Linked DNA regions of Schizosaccharomyces pombe. The gene in region 4 interacts genetically with the main gene of each other region. Each region holds a gene or a part of one and is shown on either strand. Other genes may lie near its edges. The genes, in order: cph1, hif2, ccr4 and mms19.

Region 1 (7,162 bases), 3.1 Mb from region 4:
CCATTGCAAGGAAAAAGGATATTTAGTTGAAGGCACTTTGAACAGCTTACAAAAGTTTTCCTTAACCCTTACTCCTCCTCAGAAACCTCAAAAATTTAAAAGAGACCTCAATGTACAAAGATCACTATCTCCTATACAGAATGCCGGTTCTGCCATGTTACCTTCGTTTTCTAATCTTCCGAACTTATACTCTTCCTCGTATCTTGAAGAATGGAATGTCTTTGCTCAATACAAACGAAGAGAAAGCAACGCTACCGACTTTGAAGACTTTAGAAGTCAGGTTGGTGATGATGAAAGCAAGTTCGACGAACCTACTAGGTTCTAGTTAATAAGTATTTGCTTACTTGTAATTACGAATGCCAACATATCTTTTATTTGTTGATATTTTTGGTGTTCAAGTTTTATGGACCGTTTGGTCTGTAAGCGTTTTAAACCATTGATATGGCTGTTAAATAGACTTTAGTAATAGAACCTTTCCTTATCACTTTCTTTTATTTTATTCCTCTTTGTCTAGTAAATGCATCTTACTCATATATACTTATATATACTTATATATACTTATATATACTCACACGGTACAATACGCGTATAAAATTTAAGTATTGAGAAGTTGTTAGTATAAAATAGAACTTTTGCCCTATTAGGAAGGATTTGCAATGATTAATTGCATAACGAAAATTTTTTAAAAGCCTTAATGGAGAAAAGTAATGTAAAATAAGCCAATTACAACAGATAGCCAGTTCTAAGAGGTTTTATAAATACAACATTAGCAAAAAAATAACAGAAAACAACCTTTTCTGACGATTTGAACACGACAGATTAGATTAACGTAGTCTGATTTTATACAAAATGTAAAAATATCGTAAAAATTCAAGTGCGTGCCTTATTGAATAAAGTGCGTAGTGCAATAGGTAGGTTTGGGTGCGTTCTCGCAGGAAGTAGTGCGCTTTTTACGTCTGGAGGAATAACCTCTAACTCTCGTTTTTTCCTTTCATTATTAAACTTTTTAGCTTCTATGCCAATCGCGTACAAAAAATCTTTGATGAGACCGTCTTCTGAAACTTTGTAGAGACAACTCACGGGTAATCTTGGGAAATAGAGAAGTTCATCACTTGGAAACTCTCCCATAAGAAATTGCCATCCTGAAATCATGACTTTAGGATTAAGAGTATTAGAAGTTGTATCCAACACCAAGGGCGTCCTTATCACCACGGCGTTTTTTGGTACTCTCATACCTTTTTTTCCAATGGAGTCATGAGAGCATTTTTTAGCATGCTCTTTACAATTTTTATGATAGAAGGTGTCACACAGCTGGCAACCATAGACCCAACAAGCACCCATTGATGGCTTAGAGCAATAACCACAGTAAGCTAGATTAGTGATAGAGGAGCCAGTCGGCAAAGCAGAAAACTCGTCAGTATCCATTTCTCCTTCAGTTTCCTTATAAGCACCTGTATCCCCACGAGATATTCCATGGAAATAATGCACAAGGTCGTCGGGCAATCGGTACTGCGAGGGATTCTGAGAATCAATCCAATCGTAAAGCTGGGACCATATACTAAGAGGGTGCTTAGGAGGGTGATGCGATTTGATTGAGCAAGTCACACAAAACCAAGATCCTTCTGGAATATTTTCAGGAGTCAAGGGAGGTTCCAAGCATGAAAGATGGAAACTGCAAGGACATCCCTCGCAACAAATAAAAAGACCTCTTCCTCCGCATGCACTACAATAGTCGACGTTGCGTATAGTCGCTTTTCGTCTCCGTCGCTTTACAGGAGTTTGTTGAGATTCGGTTTCGAGATGACTTTTTAGGGAACTACCCCGGCTTTTTTGAATAGGTGCTTTATTTGGAGATTTATTCGAATAACTAGCTTTTTGTTTTTTCACTGGAGAACTTATATCCATCTCTTTGTCTTGGCTAATTGGCAAGACATTTACATGGTCAGTTGAAGAGTGAGTTGATGATGTTAAAGAATTATTTTTAAAATTAGAAGGGGGACCTTCATTTACGAAAGAGTCGCCATGACTATTATTAGAAATTGAAGGTACTGTAGGTTGAGATGAATTGTTTATAGAGGATGCCATTAGATACTTCCCATGCTATGAGCAAAGCAACATGTAATACGCGACGGTTAGCACTTAGAAATATCAATACTATCCTTAATGTTTTAAGGAATATTAAAGGTAAAATTAATGGTTATCGTAAAAAAGAACAATGGTCGAGGTTGTAAGTATATTATAGTGAAGCAACGCTGTTATGAAGATGCTAAGTTACAACAAGTCTTTGAACGCCAAACGTCGTTGCAATTAGACTTAGAAAACTACTTAAAGATATCTGATTTTCGAGAGGAGCATTTAGTATAAATGATTATCATAAGAATAAATTCCCTTCTATATGTAAAATATTTGAACATTTTGTTAAAAACTATTATCCATTTGATGGAACATGGAGCGTAAATTAAGTAGAGAAGCACTTTATGCCTCTTATTATGTTGTTCATCGTTTTTTCGTCAATTCAATATATTCACTAATTACTTAGAAGATGAAATAACTAAAGAATTTGACCACAACGTGAAAAAGTTGTATATATAATACATTCGTTTACAAACGTTTACTGCAATTAATTATCAAGATGAAATTATAGACGGTGAAACTTTTAAGGGTACTTTTTGTTGTTCAAACACAATTCCAAAAACCTTTGGAATAAGAATTTTCTCAAATTTCTTAATTCATGTCTATTAATTGCTATTTTTCGTGTGGTATATACTGTTCAAATCCAACCTCTCACCTAGTCATTGCCTCCTTCTTTTACACTAAGTTGTAAGTAAACTTATAACCAACCACAACTCGGTTTGCCCTTTAAAAAATATTTGTTTGAAGTCTAATGAATATTAAGGGAATTAACTAAATTAAATTAAAATCAAAGATTTGATTTAAGATATTTGAAGACTTCCTCTGTATTGTATAACGAGCGACCTTAAACAGTATCGATTTGGAGAGCACTGTGACGGAGATTTGACATATTTCACACAAAATGTTAAAAACGCAAGAGATATATTCTTCAGAAGATGAGGATGACATGTGTTGGTATGTTTTACTAGCCGATTAGTATCAAAATTAACTGACAATTGCAACAGTCCTCTATGTATGGAAGAAATTGATATCTCTGATAAAAACTTCAAACCATGCCAATGCGGATACAGAGTTTGTAGATTTTGCTGGCACCATATCAAAGAAGATCTAAATGGCCGTTGTCCTGCATGTCGCCGTCTGTACACTGAAGAAAATGTTCAATGGCGGCCTGTCACGGCAGAGGAGTATGTAATTCAGATTATAGAATTCTTGTTTAAGCATAATCTTGTTTAAATTCACTTTTATTTTTAAACATGTCGCTAATGTTTTTAGATGGAAGATGGACTTACATCGAAAAAACGAGAGGAAGAAACGCGAGAAAGAGAGGAAGGAAGTCGAGCTTTCAAACAGGAAGCATCTTGCAAATATTCGTGTTGTACAAAAGAACCTTGCCTATGTAAACGGCCTTTCTCCCAAAGTTGCAAATGAGGAGAATATCAACGTTCTGAAGGGACCTGAATACTTTGGTCAATACGGAAAGATTATTAAAATTGCAATAAATAAGAAGGCTGCTGCAAATTCTGCAAATGGTCATGTTGGAGTTTATATTACATACCAAAGAAAAGAAGATGCTGCACGAGCGATTGCTGCAATTGATGGCAGCGTAAGTGATGGGCGACATCTTCGCGCATCTTATGGTACCACTAAATATTGCACTTCTTATTTACGGAATCAGCAATGCCCCAATCCTTCTTGCATGTATTTACATGAACCCGGTGACGAGGTGGATAGTTATACTAAAGAAGACTTGGCATCTCTTCAACATACCCGTCCTCTTTCCACTAAACCTAATGTGGTAAATGGTGCTACTCATTCTCCTTCTCCTTCTCTTCCATTCAAAACACCTCTACTTCCTGTTACGAAAACACCGTTAGAAGAGGCTAATAGTAGTCCAGCTGCACAAAATCAGCATATTACAACAGTTGATCATGTTCATCCACAAGTGTCAATGACACCTTCCTTATCCACTAATAACACTGCTACCAGCGTTCCTGCCCCTTATTCTTCTGCTGCTTCTGTAAACGTCGTTCCTGGACATGCAACAACTATTCTTCATCACGAAGAGAGTTCTGCTCTTCCACCAACTGCTGCTTGGGCAAAATTATCTCCAAGCGTATTACAAGAACGATTACGTGCCGCTGTTAATCAGCAACCTTTAGATGCACTGAAATCCTCATCAACCCAGACTTCAATACCTAAAATCCAAAAACTGAAAGCTGCGAAATTACCCTCGGAAGAAGAAAACACTACAAAGTGGCTTAACAAAGCAATTAATGACTTGGTTTCATCGTTGAGTAAAATCAATTTTAGCACGGAAGGAACTGAATTTGATAAAAAGCAAATCGAAATGATTCAGAATCTTCCTCCGTTGTTTGTATTCAACGCGCGTTCTGTTATTGACAAGGAGGTTGTCCCTGAACAGGAAAAAAGCGCCGAGAATCAACCTCCTACTTCTCTAGGAATTAATAACGGCAACCCTGTAATGCCTCCTCCTGGTTTCCAAAGTTAGTCTTCTTTTTCATTTAAGTTTTGTAGTATTTACATAAATATTATTAAAAAATTTTAAAGATAAATTCTCTATGGGTTCCTCATATAGTAGATTGACTAAAAATGGTAAAAAAAGCCTATTCTTTACTTATAATTTTACCACCTCATACATAGCACATACTGATCTAGTTATCTTAGTAAGTCATATCATCTTACGAAAGTTTTATTTACTTTTAAAAGCCATTTAAAGTCGATTTGTCCTCAACTCATTAAAACGAATCACTAATTTCTAAAAAAAATGTGGAAGAAAGCTTTGTTTAAATAAAACTTCTAAAATTAAAGTACGTGAATAACCAATCCCATCTGATAACCCAATCCAAAACGGTTCAAGAACAAAATAAAAACTAAAAAAGGTTTGGTAACCTAAAGCATTTTTAAATATGCATTGCCTCAACGTCATCTAACAACTCATCGACGCTTATTTGAGGAATGTCTTCATCAACCTCATCCTCCTCATCCATATCAGTATCTGCAACGGCAATAGCCTTAACTGGTGCTTTGTATAAGTTGACGCCTTGGCGAAGCTCAGGATCCTCCTCCAAGTTCTGCAAGAATAACTCATAATCACGTTCTTGACGTTCAATGTCTTGTTTCTTGACATCCTCGGCTTTTTGCATTCCGATAGTTTTGAGACGCCAATTCCGATTCTTCTTTTTCGTTTGAGGATAAGTTTTCTTAACAATTACAACTTCCGGAATAGAATCTTCACGAAGAGTATCATATACTTCATTGTTAAAATTGGTAACAGCTAAATGATACGCAAGGACGGTATTGCCCGCATTTAGAATACCACCAAGATGGGTGCGTGTTAAGTGCGTTGACCCATCGGATGATTTAATCAATTCCACATCGGCGAGGGCATACTTTCCATTTGTTGGGCCTAATAAATCGACATCGGCAACAATGAACTCAGTAAGTTCGGGAATATCTGCAAGTGCAGGGAACGGGGTACGCCAATAAATTGAGGGAAGCATATCACAGGTTTGTAAAGTAAGCGGATCAAGAAAGCGGATCGTAGGTCCGACTTTTGTACATACCACAAGTTGAGCAATGTTCCCATGGGCTTTTGCTACCGTTTTTGGTAAACATACAAGATCGTCTTTGCAGATAGGAACAATTTCAATTGAATAAGTAAATTTATAATTTGCGGTATTGGATTTAAAATCTTCGCTAATGAGCTCTTCACTGCCCTTGTAGCGAATAGGAACAACAGCACTTAAAAATTCAACCATTTTAATCGCATGTGCTCTCTGGCCAAAGTAAAAATCAATTCCGTCTTTAGTTTCTTTAATATTTACAGTGTTCATGTGAGCTTTATGCTTTAAAATAATCTGCTCCAAATACAAAAACGTTCTCTTATGTAACACTTTTTGACGAACCTGACAAACTGCTTTCCATATATGTGGAGTGTAAGTTCTAGCACAATCAGGACATTGTGTATTATTAACATAGAATTCAACTTGAAAACTTTGCTGCAAGATGGTGTTTGTAAAGGCTTCTTTCTGTACCGTTAATTTGACTTTAATTCGTCGGGAATGTGGTTCGGTCCAGATAAAATTGGCATCTACAAGGCGTACTTGATTCAAGCCTCGAAGCTTTTTTAAGCAAATAGCCATCAATTCTCTAGATTCCAATGGTGCAATCATCCAGTTATTAGGTGGTTGCATGTATCGTTCACATTCACGACAATGGTTAACTGTGCTTTCCCGTGGAATACCACTAGTGATGTCCGTTGTCATTTTTATACAATCCATACACATAGCAGCCGCATTAGGAGGTGTTGGAACTCCACATTCACAACACAAGATTGTTGAAGCAATAGGCTCTGAGGGTTGAAAAGCAACCCCCATACTTCCACTGTCCATATCCATTATTTTTACTGAAAACCCTTAATGCAAGGCCAATATATGGGAGTTTCAATTAACAATTGTTGGCACTGAATTGGAAGAAGATAACTTCAAATGTACAGTCTTAAGGAAAGTAATTTTTTTCCCTACTGTAATTAAATTCGCAGTAAATCTTTAACGAGATTTTTTCATTTTCTGCTAAAGCACCTTATTTTATAAGGGGCACATAGTTATTAGTAGAGCTATGAGGAATCGGTAAAATGCTTTTAAAAATCCAAAAGACTATGCCGAGTGTTCCTCGTGACTTAGATCTACTGAAAATGATGCTAGTATGCTTACCACAAATAATGAAGCTAGCTACAAAAATATCGGAAAATACTAAATAGTATTATAACTATATTAAGATTGAACTTTCAACTGATCCAAGGAAACGTGAGTTTCTTAGTTTTATAGCTAGTTTACACAGCAAAGCAACTTATGAGTCTTACGCTAATTTCTAAAAATAATCATAGCATCAGATTATAGAAAATATCGAACAGTGAAAGTTATGTATCATACTATGCATAGTATATATTGCTGAAGCCATGGCCAAAACAATTTTAATTATCAAAACGATTTTATAATATTAGAAGTAA
Region 2 (7,976 bases), on a different chromosome or scaffold from region 4:
TAACAGCTGTAGGAATTCAGTATTCTTCTAACACTTATGCATCACTATTTTCTCTCACCCCAAACCCCTCGTATATTGGAAAGTTGTTCAAGTGAGCATTATTGATTTTTTCCCAATATAATATTGATAAAAATATATATCTGTAAAAAAGTTTGGTGTTAATTATTTATTTTATTCTGTTTTCTGCTGATTCAAAGACTTCGAACATGTCGACTGCCAGTGAACAAGCTCGACTTAGACGTGAACGTCGACTGAATAAAATCAAACAAGGAGGTGCATCTAGAATCAATCAAATTTTGGGACAGAATTCAGATGACAGTCAATCCGATGTTCGAGCTACAGCTTCCGAGGAAGCTGTACATTCTGAAACTGCAACACCAGTAACGCCAATGTCTTCAGGATTCATGGAAAAGAGAGATGATACCTTCAATGCTGATCAAGTGGAATATCTTCCTTCCCAAGATTACCATAATTTGGAAAGTTCGCCTTTTAAACTTCAGTGTGATTCTCCATATAATGTACCACCTGAAAACATGTTTAATCAAAACCCTGATTTTGCAAATTTTTTTCAAGCTATGTTACAATCCGCAAAGGAGGGATCTGATACAAATTTTCAAGGTGAAAACGAACAAATTCCTCAAGCTACAGCTCCTTTAAAAAACTTAGTTGAGAAATATGCTCATCTTTTGGCAATTTCTATAGTAGTGATTGTTTGTTATTTTAAACATTTGGTAAGTCCTCATCTTCCTTTTTTGAAATTGTTTTTTTGCATACTAATATATTTATTTCAGCCATTACTTCCGTGGACATTTACTGTCGAAGCTTGCTTGTTCTCTATTCAATTTGTTTTGGACCGTAATAATGGACCTTCTTATTCTCTTCTAGCATCTCTGGCCTCTCAGCTTCCCCCTCCCTATGGAGCAATGATCCGTCATACAACAAGTTATGTTCCGTATTTCACACAATTGATTACAGATGCGTGTATGACAATATTTGCGTTAGGTTTATGTTGCTATTTTTATCCGTCGTTGGTGTATTAATAGTTGTTAATTTTCAGCATTTACTATTTATGAATCTTGGTTTTGCTTCGCAAATTGGTGATCGATTAATTAGCATTCAATTTTTGTTTAGATGAAATAAACTAACTGATTAAGCGAGAAAGACTTTTCAAACCCTTAGGAATTCAATTTTATATTATCTTTTCAACATCTAAACGATTTATATTCTAAAACATACTGCACTTCATTTGAACTGCTTTGCAACACATGCCATATTTACGATTGTCGGTACGTTTTATTTATTTTCTCTTTTAATTCAATGGTAGCAATAGTATATGATTTAAAAAGCTCTGTTTATTGTAATTGTAGTATTAATTAAAAACAGACTACTTAAAGTAATTTCTGGGATAGCTGTGAAAACATTATAACTATGATTTTTAAAATCTTTTATCAACTTATTATTGAAATAAAATAAGTAATTGAGAATTGGCTTGGTTGACTGTATATATGTAAAACAACTTCGTCCGAAGCGCTACAACAGCATGCAAACGTTGAAACGGCGAATTCTTGTTATAGAGAAATTTTTCATATAAAACCATACGTACATATTTTGCTATTTAAGTTCCAGATTGCTTAAAAGAAAATTGAAGTGGTAGCACCATTTTTATAAATATATGCAATGGAAATGAAAAGGCGCGTTCGCGCGGTGCGTCGAGACCAAATTCAAAAAAGATGGCGTCCATTAGAGGATAAGCAGCGCCAAGAAATAATAATTATTTTTAGGACGTGTTCAAGGTAAGTAATTGAGAATCATGTTATTGCTAAAAGTGCTTGTGCTTTTTAGCGCTTACTTGTGTACTGAAAGGGAAATCAAAGTTTGCTGTTGATGTTTACCTGGAAAAGTCTTTTAAGTACTTTTCCAAATTTTTTTAGTCATTATGTGTACGTATGCTAACTGTGCTATCGTAACAGATTGGTTTTGAATACAATAAAATCAGAAACAAGAAAATCTTTGGCCGAGGAATGGTTCATGAATATACTTTTAAAAATCGAAGCTCCTCTGAGAAATTTGCCTGTACCAAGGAAAAGAAAAGAGTCAATACTGTTCTCTCAATTACTTTCTTCGAATGTAAGTTATTAAGTCTTGATACGCATACATACGAAAGAGATATGACTAACATTTTTAGATGCAATTGGAACAGCAATTATACAGTGATTTGGACCATATTAACGTACTTCAACAGGAATTGAAGGTTGAAACTGCTCGTTTGGAGAATGAACAGAAATCTTACGAAGAAATGAAACAAAACATGGCCATAAATAATTCACGGCTTGCCGATTTAAAATCTAAAGTAAGTTTAAAACACGAACAGGCGAATGTTTTATTCAAGACTTCATCTTAACATATGACACAAAATGAGTTTTCCATTGTTTCAGTTATGTAAATAATCAAGCAATCACTAATATTTTCTTAGCTTCACCCTTATTTGAAGAAAGGCTTAAAGATATCCCATGATAATTTTTCAGACTCCAACGATTTCTCGTTCCAAAAGAAACTGAATACAGAAGATTCTAATACTTCTAAAACCTCTACATTGGATATGTATAAAGAAAAATTAAAGCCATTTACGAAAACTATGCAAATCCATGCAAATAAAACTGTTCAATTAAGTCAAACTATACAAAAAGCTACTCTTCTTTTACAACGACTAAACAATACAAAAAATATAGGCCTAAATAAGTCATCCAAACTTAAGATAAAGAATATCTAGACATAGAAAAGCTAGAGCTTAAGACTTGATGACTTCTACATGTTAACATATAGTCCCTGGCCCCGAACCATGACCAACCCAAAAACTGGATTAAATCGTCCTTTAATATAAGCACTCAGACTAATTGTCCCGTCTTCATTGAATTCTCACAAATAGTGTGACGACAAGCCAACTTAATGGAGTGCTTGGTAGATTCCAGCAGCTACGGACTTAATTCAATTAAAGGACTTTTTGCTAGAGTTTAGGGTAGGGTAAGCATAAAATTATAGTAGCATTATAGTATCGATTTTGAAAGTAATTTCTTTTGCTTTATTTAATCATTAAAAGATGCCGTAAAGGATTTTGTGCCTTGCGGAATTGTCAAGAATTGTAGTATTACTCGTAAACGGTCGTGATTGTTATTTAACAGTAGTAACTGCCAAAAAAGACTTAGTTTTTTATTTTTAATAAAAGCCTTCAATATTATTTAATAAATAGACGCAAAATCATAAGCAAACTGATTTTAAATTCATTTGCGCATGCAGTCAATAATTATAAAAGCAAAGCAATACACGGGTCTTAGATAGCTAGTCAAAACAATAGCAATGCGTAAAAAAGTATTGATTTTGATTAAAACGGAAAGTTCATATAGGAAGCTGAGTATGACTTTCTAAATGGAAAAGTTCTTGAACCACAGGATGAACAAACAACACATATAGCTCAGAGATGCAAGTGCCTGAGACAGCTAAGCAGAAATAAGTCCATGGAAAACTTTGAAAAACATAAAATAAGTGAATTGAAAGGAACAAATAAATAAGGTATTTTGACAATGGACAGAGAAATTTGTTTGAAGATTCTTCCTTTTTACACGAATACAATTGGTACCAAGCAGTTAAGATCCCTGCTTGAATTGCGGTCGTACTTTGGATAATTGCGACCAACAAGTAATGTGAATCTGTAATTTTGTATGCAATAAAGCAAGGTATCAAGACAGCAATGTTTGGAATCACTGTTAAAAACTGACAGAAAAGCAAGTACTCCTTATGACCCCATGAACGTTCAATTTCAACGCCATACACCGAGAGAATGAGAATACTTGAAAGTAGCGTAAAAACATTAGCATCAACAAAACTTGTGGTAATTATTGTCCATGGAAACAAGAACAAAGCATTTGGAACCAAATGAAAACATAAAAGAAAGAAAGTTACAATAGAACTCCTACCAAACACTTTGATGTAGATGCTGATTCCAAATGATATTGCAGAAAACAATACCTCTAGGATAAGAAGCCTTTTCGTAACCGAAAACTTGGAGAAATGATTCATTGATAAATTTTAGGTAAAAAAAAATAGTAAAGTTCTCGTTACCGTAAAAATCATCGACGTCAACAATTTTGGTCTCAAAGTAAACAATACCAGGATACCTCTAAGTAAATGGTGCAATCCGAAATAAAATTTCTAGCTGTTTGCATCTAAAAAATAGAAACTCTTACGAAAACTGAATTGGCCAAAGATCGCTTCACTGGAATATAAGCATAATAAGAAATTGCCTATATGGATTAATACAGTTAGTAAATTAGAAAATGAGAAGTTGAGATAAGACACTGCACCTGGTTTTTTAATGCCTTCTCAATAATCTCATTTACAGGGACATTCGGTAGCGGGTAAGATGATAGGTAGGTCATGGCTCGACCAGATTATAAACATCCAGAAAATTACATAACTTTGTAGCTTGCCGATTCTAATAGAAGATAGAAAAGAAGTTTAAACTCGCTGATATATTTGTTTGAGCACAACCTGGTTTATCAAGTAACTATGATCGGTTCGGTTGAGGAGATAAACGCATTCAAAGTTAGAGTAAATAGTAAAGGGAGAAATTAATTTTTATTATATTTGGCAGTTTTTTGAGGGAAACCCTGATGAGAAATTGCTGCATATCGCTCTGCTGGGTTAAAACAAAGTGTTGATTCTCTTAATCGAATAATGTCTTAAATTATTAGTCATAATTCAAATCATCTTTTCCTTTCTTAGAATATAGTGAATGCATTGTTTAGAGCGGTCTTATATCAGAAAGAAGCATTCGCTTGACCTTGAAACATTTGTAATAGAAAATCACATTTCCTTAGCATGATAAGCGGACCCTGAATGTTCAAATTATTCAAATAAAATAGCAGTATATTTTAGAAATAAAAAAACCAAATAAGGCTCCTACCACTCTTGTATGGAATGTTGAGTACAGAAATAGCATACGAATTCATGAAAGTCAGAAAATACAATCTGGCTGCCAACTCCTTAACACAAACTTCTAAAAGTGAATTTTGATTGAAATTAAAAGTCGAAGAGAACTATTAGCATTGCCGTTTTAAGTTGTTAAGAGACCGACTTCAAAGAGGGAAAACTTTACTGAAATTCCTCGGATACAAAAAGTGGGCACTCGATTATTTTTATTTTGATCAAGCGCTGTTTAAATAGTAACCTACGTGCAAATAATAGAGCAGGAAGATTTAATCCACAGTTTCAGCCATCGCACGTATCTAGTTAAATTTCGGTAACTAATACTTCCACAACTACTAAAAACCGTCTCAATGGGAATTCGTCGACAATCCTTCAAGTTAAATCCGTATTGACAGGAAAAGAAAGAAAATAGAAGACTGTTGAGGTTTTAAGTGAAACTCGTTGACAGACCTTAAGATTTGACTTTAATTTACGTGGGTAGCTTGAACCATTATAGATTTAGAAATTGTGGAGGAAATGGATACGAATCAAGTTAATTATATAATCTGGAGATATTTGAAAGAATGCGGTATGTTAAATAGTTGGTTTTTGTGAATCATAGTCGCTTCATCTCTCCTTTTTTTCGGTTTCGTTAACATTATCGTGTTTTTTGTTGTAGGTTATTCGCATACTAAATTTGCATTTGAAAGGGAAACAGGCATCCAAAATTTAGACAAACAATGGGGAAGTACTTGCCAGGTTGGCGCTTTAGTCGAAATTCTGCAGAAGGGTTTACAGTACGTGGAGCTCGAAAAGCACTACGTTGATAATCACTCCTCAAACGAAGAAGCTAGCAAAACATCTATAGATGGAGAAAGTCTTGTAAATGAAAATCCTTGTAAACTCCCTTTCTATCTCACCGTACCTCATATATGCGAAACGACACTGACGAAAGCTGACTCTACCAATGGGTTTTGCGAACACAATAATTCTAATGATCACCAACTTAAAATTTTACAAGATAAGGGGTCTGGGTCGCCTTCATCTCCGGTCATGCCATTTAAGGATAAAATTGAGAAAAGGGATATTGACATTACTATGGCCGATGAATCAAACGTAGAGAAGGATCCGGCTCGACCTATAGCCGTGTACAACAGTTCACCTGTCACGGAAATAACAGAAATAAAACAGGTTACTTTTACTGGCGGCGAAGACATAAAGTCGGATTTTTTCAAAGTAATTCCTACCAAACACCCCGTTACCTGTGCAGATTGGCGTCCACTATTACAAGAAAATTACCATGTTTACGAATTTTCTATTGGTATGACAAACGCTACTCTGGCTTCAGTTAGCATTTGTGAAGAGCAAAATGATTTCAAGGCAAAAACAGATTATTGTCTGCAATCTTCTTTCGATAACCAAGATATCACTGGCGTTGCTTGGAATGTAAGGTTCAAATTTTTTTTTGAAATACTAACTTTTAGAATTCTGGTTCTTTTTTAGCCTACGCATTCTTCAGCGGTGTGATTGAAATTTACGATAGTCATGGTTCTCAAATCCTTAGCTTTCATAACAACAAAGGCCCTGTTTTATCTTTGAAATGGAGCGGTACTGATACATATCTAGCTGCTGGTTCGGCGGATGGAACTATTACACTCTTTGATCAACTGAAGCAAACACAATATTCAATTGACACACTTGCATCTTCCGTTTTAGACATTGAATGGATTAGCTTTGATGAATTTGTAACTTCGGATGTGGAAGGCTCCTTGCGAGTATACAAGGTCGATGGCAAAGCTCCGGTTTCTACAGTTTCTCATGCGCATGATAATTCTATTGTTGCTTTACGATACAATCTACGTATCTCTCTTCTATTAACTGCTTCTAGTGATACCACTGTTAAGGTAAATTTCTTTTGTCATTCTAATAATTACTGTTTTCTAACGTTTTGTATAGCTTTGGTCTAGAGGTGATGCTGGTGCTTTTGAATGTTTACATGTTTTTTCTTTTAGCTCACCGGTTAATTGTATTGACTGGAATTTGCGGGAAGGGACACCAATTCTAGCGGTTGCTTCAAACAGTATCGTTTCTATGTATAATGCTATTTCCCTTCAGCAACTTGCTGTATTCATGAGGCATACAGCTCCTGTTAGTGCTTTGAGCTTCAGTCATAACGGTCGCTATCTTGCTACTGGTGATACTTCTGGGGGAGTATGTATATGGTCATGCAAAACAGCCAAACTATTTAAGGAACTGGGTTCCGATAACTCAGAGTTAATTGCTGTTACTAATGTACTTCCAGAGGAGCAAGTTAATTTCTTACGGTGGAGTTTTGATGATAAAGATTTACTTATCGGTAAACAAAAGAAGGAGATTATTTGTTGTTGTGATTTTTTACATGATTCTCTGTAATTGAACCTAGTTGATCTTGTATATATCCATTTATTACAGTAGGTTCGTTGGGTCATCATCTATAGTCAAATATATACATATATATAATCATATACGAATTTTTATTTGAAGTTACTAAACTGGTAGCTAATATTTGTCAAAACATAATATGAACAGGAAACAATATGGACCGCGAAATTGTCAAGGTCCAATATCTATTTATCACAAATACCTTAATTATAGCGACGCTTTCGATTGCCATCTTGAAAGTTAGTAACAGGTATAATAGATAGCGTGAACGCAAATTAGTGGCTTCGTCTAACATAAATCAAAAGGAACATTACTATAGGTAAAGATAAACCGTACGTAGATCATTAAAATTCAGCAACGACTACTTTGGATCTCATAAAATTGAACTTCCAGAAAGAGACGTGACTTGGGAAAATACTGTCGGTTGTTGCGAAGTGTCTATTTGGAGTGAATCATTTTCATGGCGTACAATATCAATCATCTTCTTTATTATTGATTTTTCCAGGTCGGTGCGGTTTTGAAGGACTGCTTCAACCAAGGACAAAGGTGCATCCCAGTATGCTTCTTTCAGCAAATGAAAGTATTCGGAGACA
Region 3 (7,800 bases), on a different chromosome or scaffold from region 4:
ATTATCAGCATTAATTAGAACATTGCAATAGTCGAAATTTGGAGCTGTTGGTTTTTATTTCGTCTAAAACGAAAAAACTGTCAAGTCGTCTCGCTGGATGAAGATAGGCTAGTTGGTAGCAAGGATGCTTTGGATGTTAAGGCAAATGAAAACACAGTACTTACCACCAAATCCCTAAAACTGGTCCAAAAGAAAGAAAACTGTAAAGAAGAAAATTAAATATAATTAAAAATGAATGTAAATAATTGATAGTTTACAGTTATTATCTACAGTCCATTACTTCATCGCAACCTACTATTTGTAAATTTCAATAATGTAAATAAATATATCAATAAATAAATAAACCGATTAAGACTCAAAACCATACAAATCTGTAACAGGAAAAAAAACATATAATTTCTGATAAACTCATTTTATCAATGCTACATCAATTTTTGTTATAAACTAATGATTTTGAAGGAAATATGAAATTTCCCAATTTTTTGAATTTTTTAAAAAAAACTTCTACATTTTCCCTATTTAAATTTCAACCCAACATTTAGTTTTATTTTAATAAGGGGCCCTACTATAATTTAATTAAAAAATTATAAACATCCCGAAATTGGGATGAAACTTCTAAAAAAAAAGTAAGTGAAAGTTTTTAAAACCGAATTGAAAATCAAAAAAGAATTTTAAAAAGTATCTAATTGAAAAAGTTTTACTATGCAAAACTTTTATTTATTTATTTTTTTTTTCTAGCGTTCATTGCCTCGCAATCCTGTGTTGACATTAAAACAATTTCATAGACAGTTCATTTTTGAGTAGGACAAAAGAAATAGTAATTTAGATAGGATTTCGACATCAAAACGCTCACAGACACTGTGGAACCTTTCCAAATTTCAGTTATTCATAAATCCTGCAAATTCCCAATTTAGCGTGGTACACAATGGTATGTTAATAGACACGAACTCGACATATGCTACTTCCTAGCAAGTTGCTTTGAGCTCTGCGCAGGTAATTATATGAATCACGGTCATTTGTAGATTTATATTTGGATTCTAATTAATTTCTTCAAGCTAGAGTATTGGAGAATTTAACCATGTCTGCCACTAATGGGCCGCAACCGCAGGATCTGAACAGAATTGTTCTGGATTACCTTGCGAAGAAGGGATACTCAAGGACCGAGGCGATGCTTCGTTTGGAAGCATCGGGTTCTGGCGTGTCAGTAGAGGAGAAGTTAAAAAGCATTGAGGAAACTCCAGATGCATACACACACACGTATACGATCTTACGAGACTGGGTGGATAGTTCGTTAGAATTGTACAAAGCTGAACTTCACAGGATATTATTTCCTATATTTGTTCACTCATATCTTAATCTCTTGTCTCAAGATCATTATGAAGCTGGTAAGTTGGTCATATTGGAGGAGGTTACGAATTTGTTACATGTTTGTTTCGATGATCTACGAACAAGAGGGGTATTTGAACTATTCTAAATACTTATTAGTTTCTTTATCTATTGAGTTTACAACTTGTCTTTATTTCTGAAACTCATTCCACTTGACCACCCATATTTAATTCTTTATAAGGATAAATGATAATTTTACTAACGTGCTATAGCAAAGCAATTTTACGAACTCTTCAAAGACGATCATACTGATCTTCATGACTTTGATGTAAAAAACTTAAAATCGCTGAGTCTTCCAAGCCATGTCGCAGAAGACCGCACTGCTCAACAATACCGGCAAAATAAATATCAACTCCATTTTTCTAGGATAACATTTGATTTATTGCTTCATTTCTTATTTGAAAACGTTTCAAACGGTGGGTCAATTATCATTAAATTAATCAATCAGCATATAGATATCCATATCGTTCCCGGACGTCCCACCGTCTTGGAAAATGCTAAAGTTATCAATGAACAAGAAGGTATTACCGGCCAATCCTTTGAACGAGGAGATGCTCAACTTCAACCTGTAAAGCTGCAACAAATGCCAATGGACAAAGAAATGGAAAAAATTGTAGAGATGGACTTAGAAGAAGAGGATATGATGCACCAAAACGATCCAAATAACCAATCTCCAAAACTATTAAAAGAATTTAGAAAGCTGCATGAACCTAATGCTGAAGATGCTCCGTCTAGAGATTATATCCCTCTTCCTCCTCATAAAGGTGTTGATATTCTTTCAGAAGTTGAGGCTGTGAAAGATTGGAGTAAAAGATTACATCTTGGACCTAGAGCCTCCCTTCCTAGTGTTTGTATGTACACATTCCATCACACCAATAACAACATGAACTGTGCTGAATTTTCTCCTGACTCCACAATGATCGCCTGTGGTTTTCAAGAAAGTTATATACGGCTATGGTCAATAAAGGCTGACAAAAAATCATTACCTAAGTCAACTTCTGTAGAGGATTCAGATGGCTCAGTACGTTTACTGAGTCATTCTGGTCCTGTTTACGGCACCACATTTTCTCCCGATAATAAATATTTACTATCTTGTTCCGAAGATGCTAGCGCCCGGCTGTGGTCTGTTGACACAAAAACTGCTTTGGTAGCTTACAAGGGACATACTGGCCCGGTTTGGGATGTTGCCTTTGGTCCGTTTGGTCATTACTTCGCTACTGCTTCTCATGACCAGACTGCACAACTTTGGAGCTGTGATCATATATACCCACTTAGAGTTTTTGCTGGGCATTTAAGTGATGTAGACGTATGATTATTATCTTTTTTAAGAAATGTGTTTCCTTATGACTGACTTGTATTTAGTGCGTTACCTTTCATCCAAACTCCGCTTATGTGCTAACTGGATCAAGCGATAAAACATGCAGGCTTTGGGATGTACATAGAGGACATTCTGTTCGTGTTTTTAATGGACATACCCAACCGGTAACTGCTGTTGCGATTGCCCCAGATGGTCATACTATGGCAAGTGCTGGTATGTTATACATTTGTTATTACTAATGATTTTACTAATTTGATTAAAGACAGTGAAGGTCTAATTCACCTTTGGGACATAGGAACAGGAAGGCGTATAAAGACAATGCGAGGTCACAGAGGCAACATATACTCTTTGTCATTTTCTCGCGAATCCACGGTCCTCGTTAGCGGAGGGTCAGATTGTACTGTGAGAGCTTGGGACGTTTTCAAAACTAATTACAACAATCCTGTTTCTTCTTCTCTAACGGGAAGTGTTGTTACACCTTTCTCTGCTAAAACATCCACATTTAATGAAGTCAATTGGTCTACAAGGTATGAGAAAATGTAATGGAATCGATATATTTACTAACCTTCTCAAACAGTCCGGATCAAATGGTAGCTCTTTATACGAAGCAAACCCCTATATTTAATGTCTCCTTTACGCGTCGTAACCTTTGCTTAGCAATAAGCGTTAGTTAGATAAATAAACCTTTTTTGATCTTCAATATGTTTCTTCCCGTCCATACTTTAAGAAATTTGGCATTATATAAAAAAAGATTATAAAAAATTTAATTTAAATATTAAACATTATCTTACTTTACGATAATGAGTCAACAACTAACTGCCTTTTAACAACTTTGAGACATCCATGTATCGGAATCGAAATTAGGCTGAATAATTCATATTTGATGTTCCGGAAAAGCTTTTAATATTATAAACTTCATAAAGGACTTCTGATGATACATTATATATTAAATTTTTCAGTAGCTCCAATATTTACATAGACCATAACAGCGCTAAACATAAGCTAAAATAATTTCATGTTTGGACCCTAAATTATATTATTTAGAAAAAAAATTAATAATATGAATTAATTGAAAGCATTCATATGCAATTATATACCTAAAAAACGATTAACAGGACACTGAGTTTTCGTCTCAAATCTTGGTGGTGAGCTTTCGTATCCCACCTATAAGCTATCACGGGGTTCGACTCTTGCCGTTCACCAACAACCTCACTTTTATTGTATATATAGTGAATGTTGTAAATTAGAATTCATCTCGACTTTGATATTTTGCGAGATACCGTCTATGTTTAATCCTAGGTATACGCAAGGTACAATTTATCCAGGAGCGCACCCGGGGCTGTTGACGCCAGACCATCAACATGCAGCAATATTATCTGTACAGAATTCGCCAGCTTTAGAAAATAGTAATATTTCTGAACATTGGAAACAGCAAATTGCACTTGCAACTCAGTCCAGGTCCTTCAGTTCACCACACCAACGAGCTCATAATGCTGCGGCTTTAGCACGAAGTGGAGGACCTGGGTTTTCGATGAATTACAATGCTCGGACTGGAGCTTTTACCGGAGGCCCTAATGCTGCTGGCTTATCCTCGTTAGGGGGAAAGTACAATACTAGCTCCACTACTACAACATTGACGACCTCAACAACATTAAACACTTCCAGTGGTACTACCTTAAACAGTACGTCAAAAACAACCACTTCTTCTGTTGCGGTTGATGACCAAAAGTCGAAATCTGACTCTAAGAAAGAGAGACGGGATTGGACTTGTTTGGACCTTGGTGGTATTGGTTTGAGAAATGTGAGCACTGATTTATTTAAATTCTCTTTTTTGACTGAATTATACATAAACCATAATAATCTTACCCGATTACCACCTGAAATTGGCAAACTGAAGAATTTGGTTATTTTGGATGCCTCTGGAAACAGCATTAAAACTATTCCACCAGAGCTTGGTTTACTTACTGAGCTTAGAGAAGTCCTATTGTTTGATAATATGATTAGTGTAATACCTGCCGAACTCGGTACCCTTTTCCAATTGAAAATTCTTGGTATTGAAGGTAATCCTCTTCAAGACGTTTACAAGAATCAAATCATGGAAAGTGGTACTGCAGGTTTAATTGCTGCTTTGCGCGATGGTTGCCCTGTTGGCCCTCCTCCTCCTGAGCGTGGATGGGAAAAACTTGTTTCCGATGATGATGATGATGTTAATGACAATGTTTCAACCTCTGTTAGAGATTTAACGGCTGCTGATTCTAACAAGCCCTCTACAACATCTAAGAATCTCAAGTTTACTATTATGAGTTATAATGTGCTTTGTGAACGTTATGCTACATCCACATTGTATGGCTATACTCCTTCATGGGCACTCTCTTGGTCGTATCGCAAAGATTTAATCATGCAAGAATTAGGTGGTTATAATGCTGATATCATTTGTTTGCAAGAAGTTGATGTTGAGAACTATGATACTTTTTTTGCTCCACAAATGAGTTTGAAAGGTTATAAAGGTGTCCACTTCCCGAAAAGTCGCGTACGAACTATGAATGAGGTTGAACGTCGCATCGTCGATGGTTGTGCTACATTTTTCAAAACATCTAAATATGTCATGCACGAAAAGATGGTGATAGAATATAATCAAGCACCATCTCTTCGTAGGCAAGACATTAAACTAACGTCTAACATGTACAACCGTGTTATGACTAAAGATAACATTAGTGTGATTACTCTTCTTGAGAATAAGGAAAATGGATCGCGATTGATCGTTGCAAATTGTCATATTCATTGGGATCCTCAGTTTAGGGATGTCAAGGTTATACAAGTTGCAATGCTCATGGATGAGATTGCACAGGTTGCAACAAAATTCCGTAATATGCCTTCCAAGATTCCTTCTGACCAGTTAAAGGATGAAAGACCTACCTATCCCGAGTATTTAAAGATCCCCATCTTAATTTGTGGAGATTTTAATTCCGTCCAAGGCAGTGGTGTTTATGACTTTTTATCATCTGGTAGCATTAGCCAAAATCATGAAGATTTTATGAATAATGATTACGGAGAATACACTGTTAATGGACGTTCTCATGCATTTAATTTGAAATCTGCATATGGTGAATCTGAAGCTCTCTCCTTCACTAACTATACACCTGGCTTTAAGGGTGCCATTGATCACATTTGGTACACCGGCAATAGCTTGGAGGTAACCGGTTTGTTGAAAGGAGTGGATAAAGATTATCTTTCCGGCGTTGTTGGTTTCCCTAACGCACACTTCCCTAGTGATCATATTTGCTTGCTGGCCGAGTTTAAAGTGAAACAGGAGAAGACACCCTTACCTTCATCAAAGTTTAACAATGATAAAAAATGATTGTTAGTTTTTGTCGTGTTTGTAGATTTTAGAGTGATACTTAGTAGCAAGTAGATGGATTTGATGTATGATTCTGCATTTCGCAAGTACCAGGTATTTGGTTAAGTTTACATAGATATCAAAGCAGTGTAATTTTCCTTGTCGTAATAATTTGAATAGATAAATTGTAAATCATTGAGGTTTCGTTTTTGTTTACGTAGTTATTCGTTTTACTTTTATTGGAAATTAGCATTAACAAGGGGTGAACCGCCACACATCGTACTGATGGTTTGCATTAAAACGTTGATTTTTTTATTTTCATAATAAAAATGAGCTTCGCCATTTCATCAACATTCAACCATCTCTAAAAATCGATTGTGTTGAAGATATCCTTATTTTGCTCAACATAACTTCACAAAAAATTCATAAAATATTTATCTATTTTAAAAAACCAACAAATTACAACGAGCGTAATACTAGAGAAATATAACATCAGTAAACGAAATAATATTGATAAGCAAGACTATGCTATCCTAGACTCAAGCCAAAAGTGCTGAAATTTTAATCATTCATTAATGTTTATAATAGTCAGCTGGAGAGACCAAGAAGTTTATCAAACATAAAAAGCTTTTTATTTATGAGAATCACCAAAAGACTAAACTTCTTAAAAACGATGACTACAAGTAAGGGCTGGTAGTTTATAGATTTCATAAAGTGCATTTATGAAACAGCTACGGCAAGTTTTTTCAGATGACTCATGAAGGTTTGTAAGGAGACATCATCAGTTAAAATAGCATGAGCAGGTGGAGCACCATACATAGACGTAGTGTTGTGCGTTTCAGAAGGATTAAGGCGAGAAAGAAGAAACCGTGCCTGACTGCCTCCCTGGTCACAAACGATAAATCGAGGGATCGGGAATCGATCAATAAGCAACTCCGCTGCTTCGACTCTAGGAGCTTCTAAAAGTTCTTTTAGGTTTTGGTATTCAGGCTGATTTTGATAGCCAGCATTTCTCCATTGGGCTATAGTGTCCCCATGGAAAATTAGAATATGGAAGAAAGTATCGAGCAAGAGAATAACATCCGGTTTTACAGATACAGCGTCCAGCAGCACTGGAACGCCACCAGGGTGTTCGAAAGAAAATGATTGCAAGGTAGGTTGAATCATAATAAGAGAATTGTTAACATCTTCATGGTTGAGCATGTGACGATAAAATGCAGTCTCATCTGGTGAATTGTTAAAAACTTGCAGAAAGGGGCTACGTCGTAAGTAATACATAAATTGAGGGTAAAGGGTAAATTGTGAAGAGAGACGGAAACTTGACGGATCATCTTTTCTATACTCAGCAAACTTTTGACAAAGTTTGATCAGCATTCGGTCGGTCCATCGAAGGACGTCAGGTCCATCATCGACTTCCGCTTTGAAAGCTGCAATACGAGCCATAGCAACAGCAGCAGCTTCTTGATCAAATGAATTTACGATCAATGGACTACCTCCATCAGCAAAAGCGCGAGCCACTGTTGTTACACGAAGTCGGAATGTGTTTGATGAATGTTGATACAAGGTTAGATATTGTACCAAACCTCGAGAGTCCCCCTGAGGGGCAGAGGCACTTTGAGTAGCTACTTCAAAGTAAATGGCATAAGTGGACTTTGGTGATATACCACACATTTTCCAACTATTAGTGTTACCAAGGCCAATTTCGATATCGCCAACATTTTGTGATTTCTTGTTTAGGGATACTGCGTGGCCGATAAGA
Region 4 (9,493 bases):
ATTTCATGTTCTAATTTTTCGGATCCCTCTAAACCCATTTTTTACATTAAATAAAAGAAAGAGAAATAAATATGAATTAGACTTGCTTCATTGCAAAGGATAAGTTGCATCCTTATTTTTCATTCATTGTCCTAAAGCATTCATTTATTGCACGGTAAGTCTCAGTTGGACTCGATAAACGGTTTAAGAGGGTGTATCAATCATTTAGATGAATGCCAAGATTTGAAGAAAATAGTATAATTATGGAATTATGGAACAAATGATTATTATTCTACATTATGTGTATAGACACAAAAATTTACTTTTAACAAGTCTTTCTCTTTAGTTTACATCCCACTCTTAGAAGACCATGGTTTATTTTAATAATAAAATATGCCATTCTATCATCGATGAAAATTGAGATTTGTATAATAAATAGTTAAATTTTAGTGCGCCAAAAATTAAGGGCTCATTTATGCTTTATACAGACTTAGTTTTTATAAACGTTTGCTATAAGTAACAGCATTACATAAATAGCAGAGGGCTAAATGCTGGCTAGATAAATATGAATGTAAAGTATGTTAAGAAATATTGAAAGATTACTCTCATTTCCAATGCAGGATTAAATGAAGTATATGAACAGATTTTGCATATATACCAAAAAACTCCAATAAACAGAGTGGTGATTAGCCACAGATACATTTTTTCTGTCTAGGTATGAACAGAACTTTATTTTATCAAAAGATGGTGCATTAAACATTTAGCTTTTATTTCTCCTTGGCTTTCCAATGAAATCCCACTGCGACCCAGGAAAAACAAGCTTTCTAGGAAGTGTTATCTGTAGCGGAAGGCTCTTTCGTTTCCTCTGATTTCACAGACTCCAAAAACGACGGTCGCCAACGATTCAAAAGCTTTGCGGCGGAAGCTTTAACATCTACATTCTCTTTCCACATCGTCTCAAGAATATCAAGGCATTTTTCACGTACAGGTTAGTCGAAACATTATTAAATACTGAAAAGTCATGAAACCGAGCTTCGTCTTATCGGGATCAAGACATACAAATTTAATTTTGTCAACTATAGCATCGGTGAGTTCTGGCAATTCAGACATAAATATCATAAAAACTTTATCTTTTGCCTCTAAGTATGGTAAAATGCTGTCTATTACTTTAAGGGCCCATTTTTCATATTGTGGACCTTCCCACTTAACATCCTCATATTCATGACAATCCGGATTTTCAAGCATTAGTCGATCATTATACCATTCCTCGGATAACCAGTTCAATATTAAATTTGTACTGGAACGCCAGTTAGATGCAACGTAAGTAAAAAGCTGCCCTCGAACAAATGAAGACAAAGTGAAAGAAGCATCTCCAGATTCCTCACCAGACGTTACAGGCTGATAATTCAATAAGCCTCGCGTACAAAGTCGTGGTAAGAGAATTGCCCAGTGACGCTTATCCCATACCGTATTATCCACATTTTCCAACGTTAAATTTTGAAGGTTAGAAGAAGAAACTATGCTTCTTTCAAATTGAGGAGCATAATCAAATAATCTGGATAAGGCACCGTGAAAGTATTCTAGAATAGCCATCGGGGACAGCGAATCTGGAGTGGGTAATTCAAACGCATCAGTAACGACATTGGAGGGAGCACTTCCCTCTAGTCGAGCTGCTTCACGTTCTACACTAGCATTGATAGTCTGAACATCTACCTCAGGCGGTTCATAATCCTCGTCCTCGTCTTCATCAACTTGTTGATCAAGACCAAGGGATTCAGGCTCAGAGAGAGAGCGCACTCTCTCTCTCAACATATTAATTTGCTGATGAAAGTAGTTTTTGTCTATCTTAAGAAGAGAAGTAAGTACAATTTCAGTAGCCACTTCAACCGGAATTGAAGTTACATCAAAATTTGCAAGAGGATTTATAGCAGTTTGTGAAGCAAATATGCTGATTAAGGGATTATTTTGCAAACCATCGTGAGAGCTAAGTTGGGGTTGCATTCTTTCTACAAGACTTTGTACAGCAGAAGACTTAACACGCTTAGAGGCAGCACTAATATTTCCCTCATATTGCCGTTTCTTCAAACTTTCATCGACTTTGGTATGATAAATTTGTCCGGAAAGATAAGCGTGAATTTTTTCGACGGAAGAAGAAGATGCACCTGTACTCTTAGCTAAATGAAGTAAAATAAGTTTTAGATTTTTTTCAATACACCGTATAGCTAACTTGCTTTCGTTCGACAGCTCAATTTCATCTTTTGGATTCGGAAGATGAAATTCTAACAAGCTTCCTATGATTTTTGGTGCTAGTTCCTTCCGTCGCTTCACCAAAACCGGTAAGATATTCAAAACGCTAGTAATGTAAAGGACATTCAAAGAATCCGAGAAAAGGATGGAAAATATTTTTTCAATTAAGTCATTTGCTTCTATTCTGAGGATATTTGAATTGATAAAAGGATGATGTGTGGGAACCTTAGAAAGAGACACGTCCGATTTAGTTACAAGACGGGGATCTCGAATCCCAGGCACTTGCGTTAAAATTACACAAGAAATAAATTTAATACAAGAAATTAAAAGAGGCTTGTTCCCTTTGTCAAAGTCATTAATGATTTCGTTTTTTAGCTTCGTTAAAGTGTCCCAGGTAGATGAATCGTTAGGTGAAGTACAACAGTGCAGAAATACTAGTGGGTAGATTGTGCAAGAACAAGATATAACGTCTTTTTTAACTTCTTCATTATCTACTGCGTACAGAGAAACAATTGTATCTAGACAAGTTACAGCTAAATCCAATTTCTGCTCAAATTTAACATTTTTGCTCGAAAATCCAAACCAGAGGAAATTTGCCATCCATTTTTTATACCTTATATCAGAATAGTTTGCCACAGAAAGAATGTTTCTCACGATTTCTGGAAAAAGGCTTTGATCAGTTTTAACAATATCTCGAGCCTGGTTTAAACGAGTAAGATGTTCGTCTGTCTCCGAAACTTCCATACCAGGACTAACAGAGAATTTAAGATGATAATTATATTAAATACTTATATGCTTATTGATCAATTTCTCAAGTAAATGTTAAAACTTTGCATCCTCTTTTTACTTTGCTGTCGGTTCAAATTTTGGTAAGAGAGGGAATACATAGCGCAGTGGTTTAAGGATCGTTAATATGTAGTGACTATATATAACGATGGAATAAAGGTTTTTGTGTATGATTGTAAAATCTTGAAGTAGAGATTTGCTAAAAAGAAACAAATTTTTAAAAAAAGAAAATAATATCCGATCTTTCTTCTAATTTCTTTAATTCATGGATTTAAGCAATTTAATTTACACAAATTCTTATCAGATTATCTAAATACTTTAATTAGTTTAACTTCGCTTCGGTAAAGAAAGCATACATAGCAAATGACATTTTGCAATTTGCCATTGTTAACCACATTTTCTGAGAGACGTTTCAACGATCTACTGAGGAAGAGTGCCGTCTACCTACTAGCTAGAAGAAAGTCAGCTTCGAAAAAGAGGACAAGGTTTCTAATCTCTGCTTCTCAATTTTTGAAATTCTGTTTTTTCTTATAGTGTTTATTGTATAGAAAATTGTTAGCATAATAGTACATATTAAATTTGAGGAAGATGAGCTCGAATTTAGTGGCTTTATATTTATTTTCTATTGATAGAAGTCAGGATGAGGCAAACGACGTTGTAGATCGAATTGTCGAAGAAATTGTCACTGACAGAATGGGGATTGTCGATTTGGTTACTTCAATTGGAGAGTATTTAACTGACAACAATATCTCTGTTAGAGCAAAAGCAGTTTTATTACTGTCACAAACTTTAGGTGAGCTTCCTAAAGATAGACTTCCTGCGAAACATGTATCTGTACTTCTTCAGTTTTACTTGAGTCGTTTGGATGATGAAGTTACAATGAAGGAGAATGCGTTAGGTATTGGAGCTCTTCTAAACATGCAAAACTTCCCTGCTCAAAAGATTGTGGATGTTTGTAAGGCTCTCTTCAGTTCCACTGACATGCCAAAATATGCTCAAGCAACTCGTTTAAACATTTTAAAAGTATTTGAAACCATTATAGATAATTATCTTTTCTGTAAGGATCTTTTTGGAGAGTCATCAATTAACTTAGTTCTCAGTCATCTCTTCACAAACTCGCGATGCTTTCTTCTCTGGAATTTGTTCAACTTTTGCTGGTGAGAAAGACCCTCGTAATCTTATGCTGGTCTTTTCTATGCTTAAAAAAATACTTTCTACATTCCCCATTGACGGATTTGAACAGGTATGGATCTCATTGTTAATCGCCTAATGAAATTACTTACATGTAGCAATTCTTTGATATCACTTATTGTTATTTCCCGATCACTTTCCGTGCTCCGCCTGATGCCACCAATTTGGCTATTACTAGCGACGATCTTAAAATAGCTCTCCGGTAAGGCATCATGACATGTGAACTATTGCTAACCGTCCTTTGTAGAGAAACCTTGGTTGCTAACGACGCGTTTTCAAAATTACTTCTTCCTGCTTTATTTGAAAGGCTGAAGGCTTCAACTGTTCGCATAAAAATCGATGCATTAAACATTTATATAGAAGCTTGCAAAACTTGGCGCGTGGGTGCTTATTTATGGTCTGCTAAAGACTTTTGGGAATCTATTAAGCAAGAAATACTAAATTCGACAGATGCTGAACTTCAAAATTTGGCGCTTGGTGCACTCAATACTTTAGCTAGTAAATTTTATAAAGAGGAAGGGTTTTCATCTTCGTTCACAGAGTTTGTGGATATGATTTTGATCCAATTATCACAGCGTTTACTCGAAGATGTTAATGTTAAATCTTGCGGATCTTGTGCAGCTGTATTTGCTTCCTTGGCTTCTATCTCTGTGGAAACATTCAATTATTGTTCATGCAATTTTTTACCCAGTGTTCTCGATCTACCAATGGTAAATGAACCATTGGAGAAACAAAAAGGGATGCTAGTTTTTTTGGAATACGTCTATAAATGTTTGGTACTTTTATACGGAAAGTGGAGAAGCAAAAACCAGGCTGATATTGACAACCCGCTACTTGTTTACAAAGACAAGCAACTTAGTTTTGTATCAGGCTCCTTGATGGGAACAGCCAAAGATGAAACTGAAATACGCATGTTGGCTTTAAAGGTTATTTTTTTAATGGCTTCGATCAAGAACTTCCTAACAGAGAGTGAATTAACCATGGTACTTCAATTTTTGGATGACATAGCATTTGACTTTTCCGATCCTATTAAGAAAAAGGCAACAGAATGTTTGAAGGATTTAGGGTTACTAAAGCCCGACTTTTTACTTTTGACTTCATTTCCTTTCGCATTTTCAAAATTAACTGATGATGTTACTGCTAAGTCATCTTCTGAAGAAACTTTTAAGCAATATTTATCGGTACTAGTCTCAATATCTGAAGAAAGGAGTTTGTTTAAGGCCCTTGTCATCAGACTTGTTGAGATGTTGAAAGATCAATTTAAATCCAAGGAAATGAGTGTTGATCTTGTCGAATCAATTGTTCAAAGTTTATCCGTTGCCTTTAAGGAAAGAAATGATCGAAATGAACAAGAGATTCCATTCTTTTTTGAAGAACTACTGAAGCAACTTTTTACCCTTTGTTTCGCTAATTGCGAGTCAATGAATGTGAGATGCCTTATTTATGTATCACAGACAATAAATGAGATAGTGAGAGTAAACCATTTTGAATTTCAAGAAAAGTTTGTTGGTCAATTATGGAAATTATATATGGAGAATTCCAATTCCGACTTAATTGAAACTGAAGGTTGTGAAAAAGCTGCAGAAAGATTTACGCTTGCAGCATCTTTAAGTGATCAGAAATTTTTAAATTTAGTGGTATTATTACAGGGTGGTCTTAATGGATTGAGTAAAAAATTACATTTTATCGAAAAGTTGAATATTGAGTTGTTGAATTTACTCATAAATGTTGTTTTTGTTACGGAAAGTCCTGGCGTTAAAATTAGCGCTTTACGTCTCATATCCTCGCTTATTAACAAATGTGAAAAAGACGAAGATATATCAAGTTTTATATCTTCGAAGGGAGTCACGTCTTTGTGGGATAAAGTTTATACTGGAACTCCAAAGGAATCTGAAGCTGCACTCGATGTGCTGGCGTGGGTTGACAAAGCTTTGGTCTCTAGAAAGCATAGCGAGGGCATTCCTTTGGCTTTTAAATTATTGGATACTTTGAATTTACAAAATGTCGGAGATTCTTCGGTCAAGGCACTTTCAATAATTATCAAAGACGATCCTGCGTTGTCCAAGGAGAATTCATATGTCGAAAAGCTGTTATACAAACAACGTTTTTACGCTAGTGTTAGTCCTAAGATTTTAGAACACATTTCAACTGCTACTGGAGGAGAAAAGTCTTTGTATTTAATGCTTCTTTCTAATGTGATAGGAAATGTGCCAAAAGAAATTGTAATTCCAGATATGCCATCTATCCTTCCACTTCTACTTCAATGTCTTTCACTGTCTGATATTAGTGTTAAACTTTCGACGTTGAACGTTATACATACTTCGGTTAAAGAATTGACTTCATTATTGACGGAATATCTTGATACTTTAATTCCTTCGCTTTTGGCAATCCCTAAGGATATGAATAATCCAACTGTTGTTCGTCTTTTAGCCCTTAAGTGTCTTGGAAGTCTGCCAGAGTTTACTCCTACCACGAATTTACAACTATTTAGAGATAAAGTAATTCGTGGACTCATACCATGCTTGGATGATCCTAAAAGGTAAGAACCATTCATTTTTAGTGAAAAGAATAACTGTTAACTACAAAATGCTAATGAATAATATAGGGTTGTAAGGACTGAAGCAAGTCGAACTCGTCATAAGTGGTATATATAAAGAGAGATTTTGATAAGTCATTTTTGAAAAATAAAAACGTTAAATATTGTATTTTTTAGGCCAAGGAAGAGATAAAGCTTCTTTTATAATTAAATTAAATTCAGTAGCAAGATCTGGATCTTGATAAATTAATTTATTTTTGTACGCCAAATTTTTATCGTTTAACCATTCATAAAAGTTAACTTCGGGACAACTCTCACTAACACTTTGAATTGTTGATACGGTGTTAAGTAGAACCTCGAGCGTTGAAATTGAGCGTAAATGCCAATTATTCATCAAGTACTTTTGAAAGATGCTACACCAAGTCGAAAATACCCACTCTATTGGGATAACTTTAGAAGCTTTGCTAAAATTGACATTTTCCAACGAACGAGCAATATTTTCAAAGATGATGGACAACCTACTTAGCAGTTTCTCCTGAAAAGCAGAAGGAATATCAATATGGCTGTTTCTCGACCAAAAATCATACAACTGAAGAAGAATAGCCGATCCTAAATCTTTACTAATGAAAGCCTCAGATAAAGGAAAAGATTGGACAGATTTACTTAATAGGAAAAGTTTCTTCAGTAATGTAACTGGGTGGTTTTCCTGCCGTAAAGTGTTCACAATTTTTGGCATAATATTCATTTCTAAAGCCTTTTTCTGAGCTATGAAATTATTGCTAAGCGCTGATGCCAAAACAACAGACGACATTGAACGAATCGTATTTGGATAGTCTTTCCCATCCATCAAAACAAAAAGTTGATCGCACAGAGGCTGTTCAAGTACATCCTGACCAAATTTTATATCATGAGCCAAATCACGCATTGTTTCTAAAGACGACAACACAATGCTTGGGTCTGAAGTATCAGGATTTAAAATTACAGAAGATGACTGATCGAACAACTGTCTATCGTAAAGTGAAACAGATGAATCTGAGCTTACAGTCCTCACATTCAAAAAAAGGTAACATATTGCAAGAAATAGATTCGACAAAGAGAATGTTAAAGTAAAAAAAATTCTGTAAATTTGAGTATTTCTTTTCTTTTTAGACGAGTTTCCCAGAATCGAAAACATTGAACCGATTAATCTCCAATTTTTTCACTCCTGTTAGAGAGTGGTTTATGGTAGGATAGATTTCAAGAAAAAAAAATCCATAGCATGATTAGGCAATTGCCGCTGGTAAATGGAAAACGTAGCAATAAAATTCATGTTAAAAAATAAGAATACGATACGGACGTTGTGGCAGGCATGGAAGCCTTCTAACGAAAATGTAGTAATTGAGTATTTCGCTTTTTGGCAACAACTCAAATTGAGAATTGATTAAAAAAATTGAGCTCAATCAGTTTTCAATTTGAGACAAGTACTTTGAAATTTCCGCCTCAAAAGTTGCACTTGATATTTGGCCATCTTCTTCAAAAATGTGAGCAACAGGAACCGACCATTCAAGTTGAACAGCATTTCTGTTTTTGAGTACGGTAAATTTAGTAGTGATTAGAGGCTTATTTTTCAAAGGTAAAAAGGTATCCGCAGAAATTTTGATGTGTCTTTCTTTTTTCGTAGCAACATAAACAGTACTACCCTTGACTACAGAAGACCAAAATGTGAGCAAGCAGGAAGCTAGGAAATATAAAGGTAAAAGATACTTTAAGTAAGATTTTAAAACACCAAAACCATAAACATACTCAATGCCAAATGCGAGGCCGGCGGGTATAATGCAAGCTATTGCGATCAGCAAACGAATATCTTCAAATACAAAGGATTGCTTATAACCATTTTTGTTAAAATGGTTTGTTAATTCTTTATCAAATTTAGATTTGAAATCTGAAACGTTATATTTTGGCATTTTTACTATTAGCTTAATTATGGTAGAGGAAGCAAGGCTGTAGTTACTGATGATCAGATATGCGGTTTCGTTGATACGATGGCATGATGATTTTTTAAAATTAAGTAACCTAAAAGATGTTTTAATATTTAATATAAATGCCTGAGAGCAAAAACATGAACTCCGCTACTGGAACGAAAGCAAAACAGTCGATTACTAAGTACTTTATAATACTATCATGCTCTTTCAAATACAACGAGCCATAAATTTGAAATAATAGCCAAATAAAAAATATATATGGATTCTCAATAGAAATTGGCGGAAGGGTTTCATAACAAATTAATTTGGTACAAAATATCATGCTCATTTCCTTGTCTCGATAATAATATCAGAATTGCAATCGCAATGACTGTTGAAAAGGATTATGAAATGGAAAATGTTGTTTGAATGTAGCAGTACTTGGCGTTTAGTAAAAAAATAGAGGAGTACAATATTGATATTTCCTTTCGCAAAACCTGTTTGTTCCAATAGTGATATCCCTCGATGAACATATTCCTCGCTTTTATTTATTCAATTTTCACTCGCTAATTGTAAGTTATTATGCAAATGAAGATAAGGAACCCGGTACAAACCGTTTAACAAGCAATTGCTATTTTCTATAGGAAAAGCTAGATTGCAAAAACTACAAAGCATATTGATTTCGTTTGATACAAATGTTTTTTAGGCAAGACAGAGCCACTTGCGAGGGCTCCAATCCTAAATCCAATTTCTGAAATTCGCCTTTTTTACAAATAAAATGTATGAACGAATTTGAAAATGGAACTTTTCTCTC

The links.
Region 1: mutations in mms19 (region 4) and cph1 together harm fitness more than expected from each alone (negative genetic interaction), as found in Schizosaccharomyces pombe (2 studies listed by BioGRID).
Region 2: mutations in mms19 (region 4) and hif2 together harm fitness more than expected from each alone (negative genetic interaction), as found in Schizosaccharomyces pombe (2 studies listed by BioGRID).
Region 3: mutations in mms19 (region 4) and ccr4 together harm fitness more than expected from each alone (negative genetic interaction), as found in Schizosaccharomyces pombe (2 studies listed by BioGRID).

The regions. Positions count from the first base shown.
Region 1 is NC_003424.3:794,473-801,634, reverse strand, and holds cph1 (Clr6 histone deacetylase-associated PHD protein-1 Cph1), read right to left. Parts: upstream 2,269-7,162; 5' UTR 2,086-2,268; coding exon 871-2,085; 3' UTR 654-870; downstream 1-653. Other genes in the region: ATP-dependent RNA helicase Upf1, read left to right, coding at 1-325; CCR4-Not complex subunit Mot2, read left to right, coding at 3,035-3,087, 3,138-3,317, 3,406-4,642; export adaptor Nmd3, read right to left, coding at 5,055-6,551.
Region 2 is NC_003421.2:189,053-197,028, forward strand, and holds hif2 (Set3 complex subunit Hif2), read left to right. Parts: upstream 1-5,311; 5' UTR 5,312-5,499; coding exon 5,500-5,551; intron 5,552-5,641; coding exon 5,642-6,408; intron 6,409-6,446; coding exon 6,447-6,866; intron 6,867-6,918; coding exon 6,919-7,374; 3' UTR 7,375-7,476; downstream 7,477-7,976. Other genes in the region: GET complex subunit Get2, read left to right, coding at 207-731, 792-1,040; kinetochore protein fta7, read left to right, coding at 1,678-1,793, 1,971-2,127, 2,186-2,350, 2,474-2,770; protein pdh1, read right to left, coding at 3,394-4,074; sec6 (exocyst complex subunit Exo3), read right to left, coding at 7,757-7,976.
Region 3 is NC_003421.2:635,723-643,522, reverse strand, and holds ccr4 (CCR4-Not complex subunit Ccr4), read left to right. Parts: upstream 1-3,899; 5' UTR 3,900-3,989; coding exon 3,990-6,062; 3' UTR 6,063-6,088; downstream 6,089-7,800. Other genes in the region: taf5 (transcription initiation factor TFIID subunit 5), read left to right, coding at 1,079-1,385, 1,599-2,692, 2,749-2,917, 2,967-3,231, 3,282-3,378; sec231 (COPII cargo receptor subunit Sec23a), read right to left, coding at 6,762-7,800. UniProt on the Schizosaccharomyces pombe protein: Acts as a catalytic component of the CCR4-NOT core complex, which in the nucleus seems to be a general transcription factor, and in the cytoplasm the major mRNA deadenylase involved in mRNA turnover.
Region 4 is NC_003424.3:3,854,823-3,864,315, forward strand, and holds mms19 (TFIIH regulator Mms19 ), read left to right. Parts: upstream 1-3,395; 5' UTR 3,396-3,600; coding exon 3,601-4,069; exon of another isoform or gene 4,070-4,112; coding exon 4,113-4,255; exon of another isoform or gene 4,256-4,301; coding exon 4,302-4,405; exon of another isoform or gene 4,406-4,450; coding exon 4,451-6,742; exon of another isoform or gene 6,743-6,808; coding exon 6,809-6,857; 3' UTR 6,858-6,896; downstream 6,897-9,493. Other genes in the region: protein Rng8, read right to left, coding at 1-38; protein Sil1, read right to left, coding at 6,897-7,913; signal peptidase subunit Spc2, read right to left, coding at 8,179-8,682. UniProt on the Schizosaccharomyces pombe protein: Key component of the cytosolic iron-sulfur protein assembly (CIA) machinery that mediates the incorporation of iron-sulfur cluster into apoproteins specifically involved in DNA metabolism and genomic integrity.